Kluyveromyces lactis: one gene and its partners. The protein of the gene in region 2 interacts with the protein of the main gene of each other region in a pairwise test. Links are inferred from orthologs where the notes say so. Each region holds a gene or a part of one and is shown on either strand. Other genes may lie near its edges. The genes, in order: CDC53, CDC7 and CDC5.

The links.
Region 1: the proteins of CDC7 (region 2) and CDC53 interact in a two-hybrid assay, tested with the Saccharomyces cerevisiae proteins (2 studies listed by BioGRID). The link is inferred for Kluyveromyces lactis from reciprocal best matches to the Saccharomyces cerevisiae genes CDC7 and CDC53.
Region 3: the proteins of CDC7 (region 2) and CDC5 interact in binary tests that used the Saccharomyces cerevisiae proteins (3 or more experiments, as listed by UniProt). The link is inferred for Kluyveromyces lactis from reciprocal best matches to the Saccharomyces cerevisiae genes CDC7 and CDC5.

Annotation. Positions count from the first base shown.
Region 1 is NC_006042.1:536,596-540,756, forward strand, and holds CDC53 (cullin CDC53), read left to right. Parts: upstream 1-1,325; coding exon 1,326-3,764; downstream 3,765-4,161. Other genes in the region: SRF1 (phospholipase D regulator), read left to right, coding at 1-510. UniProt on the Saccharomyces cerevisiae protein: Core component of multiple cullin-RING-based SCF (SKP1-CUL1-F-box) E3 ubiquitin-protein ligase complexes which mediate the ubiquitination and subsequent proteasomal degradation of target proteins.
Region 2 is NC_006039.1:396,515-399,889, forward strand, and holds CDC7 (serine/threonine protein kinase CDC7), read left to right. Parts: upstream 1-1,384; coding exon 1,385-2,812; downstream 2,813-3,375. Other genes in the region: DAL1 (allantoinase), read left to right, coding at 1-378; ERP3 (Erp3p), read right to left, coding at 465-1,184; trans-2-enoyl-CoA reductase (NADPH) TSC13, read right to left, coding at 3,117-3,375. UniProt on the Saccharomyces cerevisiae protein: Serine/threonine-protein kinase. Needed for the initiation of DNA synthesis during mitosis as well as for synaptonemal complex formation and commitment to recombination during meiosis. Required for HTA1-HTB1 locus transcription repression.
Region 3 is NC_006039.1:539,008-543,193, forward strand, and holds CDC5 (polo kinase CDC5), read left to right. Parts: upstream 1-1,401; coding exon 1,402-3,528; downstream 3,529-4,186. UniProt on the Saccharomyces cerevisiae protein: Protein kinase required for the cell cycle where it is involved in mitotic exit. A component of the fear (CDC14 early anaphase release) network which promotes CDC14 release from the nucleolus during early anaphase. Phosphorylates SCC1/MCD1 and NET1.

The DNA of each region.
Region 1 (4,161 bases), on a different chromosome or scaffold from region 2:
CAATATCTACCTTTGTCGTTGAGATTTCTCATTGTGATACTCTGCATAATCTCTCTTGGCCTAGCAAGTAGAATATACCAGAACTCGGATTCCACTGTCGAATCCTTCGAATCATCAATACCTCAACAACCAAGTACTATCATGGCGCTATGTGTTAATTCCATCGCTATATTATATTTGGTTTATATCGGATATGACGAATTTTCAGGGAAACCGCTAGGAATTAGAGATCCTATGACTAAAGTCAGACTAATTATGCTGGACCTTTTATTCATCATATTTTCAAGTGCTAATTTATCGCTTACCTTCAATACATTATATGATAATCGATGGGTCTGCACATCTACTGGAACGTCACAAGTTGATCCTCCGCACGTAGGATATATATGTGACAAACAAAGGGCGCTCGCGGCGTTCCTTTTCTTGGTCTTGGTCACTTGGGTTGTAACGTTCAGTATTAGCATATTAAGGGTCGTGGAAAGAGTCAGTTCTGGTGCTCCAAGACCCTAAGACTATTCTTGAAACGGGCCCTTCCGACTTAAGACGCCTGTAGATTAATTGTTTTAAATAAATCATTATTCCATGAGAGTACATAATTTGTTTACAAACCCAACAAAAGAAAATCAAAAGTACCAAAGAAAACCTTATAAACATATAAGTTTGGGCCCTGTATTAAACAACATAATTAGACGACTGCAGTATGCTAAAGTATATTTGCCGAAAGCTGTAATCCTTACCCTCTTTTAAGTACTTTAATAATAAGATCAGATTCATATTGAGGAACAATTCAGGATTTTTTGATATTCCAATAATGTGTGGCAAACGAAAACAAAAATATAAGAAATTATAGTAACATAGTATGCAATTATATAAATCAGTATATAACAAGTAAGGCTGTCAAAAAGGGTCAAAATATCGAACAACTCGGAGATACTTCACGATAGAAGCAATATAAAGTTTTCCTGTGTGACCCTTTTTTATAGGATCCCGCCAACAAGTGGTGCATTTCATATTTAGCAGTGAAGGCGCTTTCTATTCTGTTTTATCCTTTCTTTCGATTCATTGAAAAGGGTTGCTCGACTAATTGGGACTCGAACTGTATTTTCTATCGCTGCTGATTTCAGTTTACTACCAAATCTTTATTTACAAGTACCGCTACCTGCGCCCTTGGGAATACTATTATTCTAAAGCGTATATTTAACTGGGTTAGTGGGAAGCAAGTCTCATTAACGCTTCAGAAAAGATAACTTAGGCATCGTTCAATAGAAATATTACTGGTAAAAGAAACTACACGTGCAATCAATAAGAAACAAGTCTAATAAGCTATGGCAGACACATTACCTAGATCAGATGATTTGGAAGCAACATGGAACTTTGTGAAGCCTGGGATCGACCAGATCTTGGATCGTGATGGTACATCGGATATAAAGACAAACAGAGTTCAGAAAGTTCTTTCCCCAAGGATGTACATGGAGGTATACACGGCGATTTATAATTACTGTGTCAACAAGTCACGTTCTACAGGTCATTTCCAATCTGATATTATAGGGAAGCAAATGAATCAATCTTCGATTCTTGTTGGAGGAGAAATCTATGAGAACTTAAAGAATTATTTGAAAGATTACATATCGAATTTAAAGAAAGATGATAATGTAACGTTTTTGAATTTCTACGTGAGACGCTGGGAAAGATTTACAATCGGAGCTATTTTCTTAAATCGGGTCTTCGACTATATGAACCGTTACTGGGTGCAAAAGGAAAGAAGCGATGGTAAAAGACACATTTTCGATGCACATACTTTGTGCTTGATGACGTGGAAAGAAGTTATGTTTGAAACACATAAGACGGAACTCGTTACTGAAATATTCGATCAATTGGATTTGCAGCGGAGGGGTGAATTAGTGAATAAATCTGCTATTACAATAGCAATAAAATCCTTTGTGATATTAGGTATCGATCCATCAGACTTAAAGAAGTTGAATTTGAATGTGTATATTCAAAACTTCGAACAGCCATTCCTACAGAAGACAAAAGAATACTACACGAAGATGTCCAACGAATTCTTAGACTCTCACAGTGTCTCTGAATACATCGAAAAGGCAAATGAATGCATAATCTTCGAAGAAAAGGACATGATTTTATATTTGGATTCCCATACATCGGCACCATTGTCTACAGCTTTGAACCAAGTTTTGATTGCTGATCATGCCGATAAGTTAAAAAAAGAGTTTATTTTACTTTTGGATAAGCAAGATCAAAGATTGATTAAGCTCATATACGAATTGATGAAACGCGATTACCGAATGTTACCAGATTTGGTGGATACTTTTGATATGTACATCAAGAGAGTCGGAAATGAAGAAATCGATAAATTAATTGATGCACATAATAAGAGTGCAGCACAAGATTCAAACGCTAAAAGGCAACCGGGATTATCACCTAGAGATTACTTGAAATGTTTAATAGGAGTTTACAAACTCTTTTACAATATCACCATAGAATGTTTTGAAAATCATCCTGCTTTTGCTAAGGCTTTAGACTATGGATGCCGTTGCTTCATTAACAATAACTCATTCGCTATTCCTCCTGGTTCACCTAAATTTGCGACTTCTAGAGCTCCTGAGATGTTGGCGAAATACAGTGACCAGTTGCTCAAAAAGTCGACCAAGAATAATGAACAGGTAGATTTGACCGTGGATGATATCATGACTGTCTTTAAGTTCTTGGCCGACAAGGATGCATTTGAGATGCATTACCGAAAAAATTTAGCAAAAAGATTAATTCATGGATCATCAAAATCAGAAGCTGATGAAGAAATCATTATCCAAAGACTACAGTCCGAGAACAGTCTTGAATACACCAGCAAGATTACCAAGATGCTACAAGATGTCAAATTATCTAAAAACTTGCATGATGAATTTTCCACGTTCATTTCACAAGATGGGAATAATACTACTAGCGCCGCAACTTTCAGAAGCAAAGTTCCTGAATTAGAACCTCTAATTCTTGCAGACAATGTATGGCCCTTCAGCTATCAACCAACAGAATTCGCATTACCACCAGTTCTTGAACATAGTAAGAACAAATTGGAAACCATGTATACTGACAAGCATTCTGGTAGAATATTGAAATGGCTATGGCCAATGTCTCGTGGTGAAATCAAGGCACATATTGGTAAACCAGGCAAACCACCATTCCAATTCACTGTGACTATTTTCCAAATGGCGATTCTTACCTTGTTTAATGATATATCTACGTTGACCTTTGAACAAATACAAGAGAGAACCAATTTGAAGGCTACACAGATTGCGTCTAATATGTATCCGTTTGTGAAGATGAAACTATTAATACAATCTCCAGAAGGGGTGGAAAGTATGATCAAGTTAGATACAAAGTACACCTTAAACAAACCCTATCGATTATCGAAAACTAGTGTTAATTTTGCAGCCGCTGTGAAAAATGATCTAACCTTTACTGCAACCGTTAATGGATCTGCATTAGATGAAACAGAGGCATCTGAGCAAAAGAAAGCAGAAAAGGAACTAAATCAACAAAGATTGATGTTCTTAAGAGCATGCATAGTGAGAATTATGAAGGCAAAGAGAAAACTACCACACAGTTCATTGATGAACGAGTGTATTGCCGAATCTCAACAGAGATTCAACGCCAAGGTGTCCATGATCAAAAAAGCTGTCGACAATCTAATAGAACAAGAGTATTTGAAAAGGACAGACGACGGTGAATGCTATGAATATCTAGCGTAAACGCTCACTTTTTTATCCACCTTTTACTTCGCCATACATATGTATAAGAAATGTATATGTATCAACATATATTTCGCAACCATTCGACCATTCGACCAAAGGTCAACCTTGGGCCCCATATTTTCAAGCATGAATATTCCCAAGAAAAAAAGAGAGACATCATGAAAGGACCGACGAGTATACTATTCATTACTCAATAGCCAAACCTAAATGCTTGGGTAGCCCTCTCTGCTCTCTTGCTGCTCTCACTACTCTCAGTGACTACCTTAGCATCATTCGGAAGGTGTTTGTCAATACCTGCTGCAAAAATCTACGTTCATCGGATTTAAAATCCACAGGAATATTCACGAAAATTGGTCATGATTAGACTTTAGCTCGAAATTGAGTGGGAATTTTA
Region 2 (3,375 bases):
GATTTTTTTAGTGCATGGGGAGGAATTGCATCCGTCGGGTTGGGACTACCATTACTATACACTAACGGTGCTTCCATCGCTGAAATCATTCAATGGTGTTGCGAGAACACCAGTAAGCAAGTTGGTCTTGATCACAGGAAGGGTTTCCTAAGAACTGGATACGACGCAGATTTTGTTATCTTCGACATCAATACCTATCAGACTGTCGACAACGATAAAGTTTATTTCAAAAACAAACTGACAGCCTATGATGGGTTCAAACTGAAAGGTTTAGTGAGAAACACCTATGTTAGAGGAAAATTGGCTTTTGAACTTGACGGCATGGGACATAATAAAAACCCTCCCGGCCAGACAATTCTTGAACGCAGAAGAACATGAAGTACCCCATCTTCTAATCATTTTTTTTTCTTCAATTTTGAATTACCTTTATTTGATGCATGATATACATATTATATATATATCACTTATGATTTAAATTTACCTAGAATATACTTCATTATTATAATTTCTAGAACAGCAATCGTCGGTACAAGAACTATGGAGCAAATTGATATGGTGACCAACCTCGATGCTATTGATTTAACAGTGTGGTGGTTTCTTTCTGCACGTGATTTGTACAGCTTCAAATTTCTTTCCAAGACTTGAAGCTGATCCTCTATTATATTTACAGAATCTTGCAGTGTCCTCACCAGTGAACTATCTATCGTCTCTCCTATCAAACGAGGATCTGCTGGCTTCGGTATCTGATCGAAACATATCTGTACAATGTCTAAATCAACAATCTTAGGATATTCATCACCAATGACACATAACGCATATTCACCAGTATGTTTCGCAGGAAATGTCCATTGCCCTTGCTCTTCGTCATCTTTGTAAATCATAGGATACTCTGTATCGTCCGGAGACCATAATTCATAGCTTACTCTGAAGGCATTGTTTTCTCCCTCTTGTACTGCGAAGTAATAAGATATTTTGCAGTCACTGTCATCAACATCAATGTAAACACATTCTTTCCCATTCTTCTGTAATTGTACCGTTATTGGTGAGCTTTGACAGACAATCACAAGCGAAAATACCCATAACCATGTAAACTTCATATTTAATAAGTTATACATGAAGGTTGCTTTGTGTGTAAATGTCCTTTTATTCGACAATTCCCCTTTTAACGTCCTGTTTCTGTTCATTAATATATGTCATTTCAATGTGAACTACTGCTGTTTGTTATTATATTTGGTTTCGACAATAAAAATGAAAACATCGCCAAAAAATGCATAGAATAAAAGAATCAACGGATATAGCGTATCTGTTCTTGTAGAGTCAAACCAATGGGTATACAGCTCGTCTGTTAGGCTTCATATTAGGTGGCAATATACACACTATAATTATGGATGACATTCCCGCTGAAATCATCCAGGAAATGGATGATTTGTACGATAAGGTACCACAGTTGTCATCCAGATACAAGCTACTGGATAAGATCGGAGAGGGGACCTTTTCATCGGTATATAAAGCTCAAGATCTTAGCAACGTATCTGGAAGGTTATACCCTGATCATTTCTGGGATAAGAATAGTAAACATGTGGCTATCAAGAGGATATACGTGACAAGCTCGCCGAACAGAATTGAAAATGAACTTAAACTCTTAGAGTTACTGTCAAATTCGAATAACGTAGCACCATTATGCGACGCGATTCGATACCAGGATCAGGTGGTTGTCGTCTTGCCCTGGTATCCGCATGAAGAATTCCGGCATTTCTACCGAGACATGCCTATCAAGGGGATAAAGAAGTACATGTTTGAACTTTTAAGCGCCTTGAAATACGTGCACTCATTTGGAATCATTCACAGAGACGTGAAGCCAACCAATTTCCTATACAACCCAATACTTGGGAGAGGTGTGTTAGTAGACTTTGGTTTGGCTGAAGAGAATGAAGAGTTGTACTTGCCTGACCTCAACTATCGTGTGTATGTTAATGACCAGGGAGAGAAGGTTTGTAATTGTTCTTCACCGTATGCTAACAACAAAAAGACATCACATCTGCCGTTGATATCCATTCAGAACGGGCAGCTTAACGTTAGAGGGGCAAATGAATTAAGTGCTGCACAAAGTGAGAATCTCATGAAGGCAGAATTGAGTAAGGGGTACCCAAAACATGAAACTAGGAGGCAGCGTAGAGCTAATAGAGCTGGTACGAGAGGGTTCAGAGCGCCAGAAGTGCTTATGAAATGTTCTTTCCAAACTCAAAAAATTGACATTTGGTCAGTTGGTGTGATACTGTTAAGTTTCATCAGCAGAAGGTTCCCAATCTTTCAAAGCATGGATGATATTGACGCCTTTCTGGAGATATGTTGCATTTTTGGAATCAAGCCCATGCAAGAAGTCGCCAAGTTCCATGGGTTGGGACTAGACATGACAAAGGTTCCAGGTTTCCATTCGGAAGGATATCCTGGGGGGCTACAAGGTTTTGTGAGAGCTTTACTTGACAAAGAAGTGGAGGAAGGAACATTACCAGAGTATTCCATAGCGTTCGAGACGTTGGATTATTTGACACAATTTGACAAACAACTCACGCCAAGTTTAGGCCCAGACGATGAAGAGGATATTGATGATAAAATACGGAGCTACAAACAAGCAGTTTGGGACGATCATTTTTGGTGTTTTGATCTCTTGGCAAAATGTTTCGAACTCAATTCATACAAAAGACCCAGCGCCAGTGATCTTCTTGAACATTTATGGTTCAAAGAACTGAACGAAGATTTACTTGATAGAGATCAAAGAAGAGAAGATCACTTCACCGGGGTCGTTGAGTAATGAAATCCAGAACGAAACAAAAATATTTGACGAAAATTAGCATATATTCACCGCAATAACTTAGAGCAGAACTCATTTTTTATATACATGCATTCATATATAGAGTTCTTTAACCGATAGAGTAATTTAATACTTTGCATTCATCATCATTATTATATTTAGTTTACAAACGTTGCCAACGCTTTGACGGCATAAGTTAGAGAACAAGTGCGTAAATAAACGAGTAAAACAGCGTTATTCACTTAAGAGAGAATGCTATAATACCCCAAGTCAAATATGTATGTGGTGATAGTAATTGGTGAATTCAGAACAAGAATGGGATCAAGAATGCTCTCTTGGTACCATATTTCTTGTTTTTCTTTTGAGCCCACAAGTACATCTGAACCACCGAGACAACAAGGAAAAGAACTGAGAATAAGTTCAACTTGAACAACAAAGTGAAAAACATCCAAGCCCAAGATTCAAAAGTGTAATTTGGAGCGACAAGTAGTTTGAACAACCCAGAATTCAATGGGACTCTCTTCGTGACACCGTTTCTCTTTTGTTCATCACCCCATCTACGC
Region 3 (4,186 bases), about 140 kb from region 2:
CACTAATTCGATAGAAGTACTATATAGGGTTCTTTTTACCTGCCTATTCAAGTCTGTAGCGCTCTAAAATGGGCTATATCAAATTACTTTGGTTGTGGTCCGTCTTAACCTTAAATTTCTTATCGTAAATATAAAACAAAGGAAATTCTAAAGTAGATATATTACCGACACCAGTAATATAGAACTCTCTCGACCGTTTAGGATGTTTCTTTTTTATTAGTTTTCTTTAGGCGCTGATCAGGACAGTGCCTCTTCTCTTACTAAAAAATAGATCAGCTTTTTCTACCGAATGCTTGAAGATTTGATTTTTCAAGAATCCAAGACATTCAACAGATATTAACCTGTAAAGGGCAGAAGTGAAAATGAAAATAGAACAACCGTAAATTTTCAAAATTGCCCCCAAAAAAAAAAAAGTCTCACGTGATCTAATATTCGGGTAAGGTAATTATTTGCTTTTTCATTAGATACTTACTTAGGAAAATGTCCTTTTAAAGAAATAAGGGTTTTTGGCACTTACCGCATTGAGTGTTTTGTTATTGTTTACATTTTGTTCATTTCCGTTGTACAGATTTGGTTAATGTCGAAAAAAATTCAATAATGTAAATAGTCGGTTTTGTGTTTTCAAAGTTGACAAAACTAGTAATTTGTCGGTTTGAATAAATTTGAAGTTACAGTAAATTGCGGTAGCTCATTGTCATTGATATTACTATTTGGGTATCCTTGTATACTGGTTTGGCTTTTATATCAGCTTAAAAGTACTGGGTTTGGTATAATATACTATTATATTGGAAGGGAAAAAAGTCAGATTCTAATATTATACAGTCTTTCTTTACATACTTCCTAAGAGCATACTTGGCATAAGAGAGGGCGGGAACTCAGTCCTTTAATTGTTACCATCTTACCTGAGACGTATCAAGTGCTTATAACAAGGGTTCTTTTGATATTAGAAGCATTTTTTTACTGCGACTGCCATAATTCAGTTGAAAGTTCGATTATTCTTAGGAATACTTACATCACTGATATTAGTTTACAAACTTGCAGGTGAAAGGAAGACTTACAGTGAGCGGAAACATCATTTAACAGTCAGAATCTTGGTTGTTGTACTCATTCTGCTGTTGTTAACCTAAATCGCTTCAGTTTTTCAACGGTGCCAGTGCTTTGACGTCGTAGATTCATTTTTTTTGATCGAGAGCCACAAAACCGTTAATTGCAAGGTATTTATTGGACGGGCCAAGGAAATACACGCAAGAAAGAAATTAGTTACTGGAGGTTGATAAGTGTAGACTATTTATCACACATTGCAGTGATATTTCTTGTATACTGGTTCGACAAGGGTGTTTGACATAACAAAAGCTCGCAGGAGTATCATTCCATCAAAGAGCTACAAAATAATCAGACATCATGTCTGCACCACCACTTCAAATCATCAACGATAAACAGCTAAATGCTCGATCGAATAATATTCATACACCGATCAAGGCTAAAAGGGTTGTTACTGAGCTGCATCATATAGATAGACTTACTACGAATGGTAAACCCACCAATAATAATAATAACAATAATAATAATAATATCAATCGTCAGCAGCCGCCTCAGAAAAAGAAGAAGGAAAAACTCTCTTCTTTATGCAAAACACCTCCATCGTTGATCAAGACTAGAGGACGGGACTACCACAGAGGACATTTCTTAGGTGAGGGAGGATTTGCTCGTTGTTTCCAAATGAAGGATGACAAGGGAAAAGTATTTGCTGCGAAGACAGTTGCTAAACTGTCTATCAAATCTGAAAAGACAAGAAGGAAATTACTATCAGAAATTCAGATCCACAAATCTATGAAACATCCCAATATCGTTCAATTTACAGACTGTTTCGAAGATGATACTAACGTTTATATCTTATTAGAGATCTGTCCAAACGGATCTGTTATGGAATTATTAAGACAAAGAAAACATTTGACGGAACCTGAAGTAAGATTCTGTATGATCCAAATCATTGGTGCCATAAGATATATGCACAGTAGAAGAGTTATTCATAGAGACTTGAAACTTGGAAATATTTTCTTCGATAAAGAGTACAACTTAAAAATCGGTGATTTCGGTCTTGCTGCTGTCTTGGCAAATGATAAAGAGCGTAAATATACCATTTGTGGTACACCTAACTATATTGCTCCAGAAGTGCTCACCGGAAAGCACACTGGTCACTCATATGAGGTTGATATTTGGTCAATTGGTGTGATGCTCTATGCATTGCTATTCGGTAAACCACCATTCCAGGCAAAAGAAGTTGAAACAATCTATGAAAGAATTAAGTGTAGAGATTTCATTTTCCCAGCTGACAAACCGGTATCCTCAGATGCTAAAAACTTGATTTCACATCTCTTACAGTTAAATCCAGCCGCCAGACCATCGTTATATGAAATAACTGATAACGTATGGTTCAGAAATACTTTCCCTTCAAGATTACCGTCTACAATAACCAAGGAGATTCCAAATTTCGATCACCTCAGTTTCAGCGAGTCATTGATTAACTTGAAACAATGTATGCTAAACTCAGGGTTACTTAAGAGCTCACAAACTCATTCTTATGATGGTAGTAAGAATCCAATTGAGTTAGTGAGAACAGAAATAGAAGAAGAAAGAAACAGAGCTGTTTTACCACAATCCTTGTCACCAGGCGGAACCAAAAATAAATATAAAGAAGTTATCGATCTTGATGGCCACAGAAAATTTAACGAGATGGCATATCAAAATCGACTGAAAAAAGCCGGAGAGAATCTATTCTTCAAGCCTGAGTTGGTGGCAACTTCAACTAACATGATTAAATCCGAAATGTCGCTGAAAATACTTGCAAGTGAATGCCACATGACACTACGAGGGATCAAGAGTGCCGAAATAGATAAGAGGCAATCAAACTATCCTTCTCCAGACTCCACCGTACAAGACCCAATCGTGGTCACAAAATGGGTAGACTATTCGAACAAACATGGATTTGCATACCAGTTATCAACTGACGATATCGGGGTGTTATTCAACAACGGAACCACAGTATTAAAGCTAGCAGATGCGGAAGAATTCTGGTATATTAACTATGATACTAAGGAAGGATGGGTTGCAAGCCATTATAAATTAGAATCTAAACCTATTGAATTAACAAGACACCTTGAAGTGGTCGATTTTTTCTCAAATTACATGAACTCCAATTTGAGTAGAATTTCTACGCTGGTCCGTGAAACTTATCATAAAGATGATGTGTTCTTGAGAAGATACACCCGTTATAAACAGTTTGTTATGTTTGAGTTGAGTGATGGTACTTTCCAATTCAACTTCAAGGATCACAATAAATTTGCATTGTCACATGGAGGTAAATTCTTAACATTTATTTCATCTGATCGTAAAACGATAACGTTACTGCTTTCGAGTGTTCTAATAGATGGATGTGTACCAGGATTCCCTTCTATTGATATATTCGAGAAACTAGAACTAATGAAGGAGGGCTTGAGAGATAAAGCAAGTGTTCTAACAATACATTAGGTAGGGATGTCATTGTGATAATATGCAATTTGCATTTGAATGTCTTCATCTGGTTGTACAAGCCAGCATGTATGGCTACGTCCATCAAGCGCCTTTATGTATTTTTTTCGCATTCCTGCATCCAACGATTTATACCAAATGATACCAGCTATTCCTGATCGTTGTGTTCCCCCGATTGCAACTTCTAAAACTGCCATCCATTCTGTATCAAAATATCTTCACCTGTCAGATTTCATTGTTTCATTAGTTAATTTTGAATCTGTGATGAAATAAGCCTGGGGCTGCCAGAATAAATTTGTTTAATTTAACATAAATTAATAATTGAATCTTAACATGATCCCTCACCAGAAAAACTGTATCTTAAAAGTAACAACAAATGTATACAAGTTAGAAAGATGTGAAGATATCAAAATTCGAATATCTTGTTCCTTCCAAGGTTTTTTTATTGCAAACAAGGTCACTATTCTGTACTGATAATACCCAAAAAACCCAAAAGAAATAGTCCTATACACAATGAACGTTGAACTTTACGGTGGATAGTAATACGCTCTCCTATTTTATAGCCGAAACACAACACAGTTCATGAAAATAATACATAGAAGGGAAGAGGGGATAGAGAAAAACCGAAGGAGGTTCAATAATTCTTTTGAAAAGATGA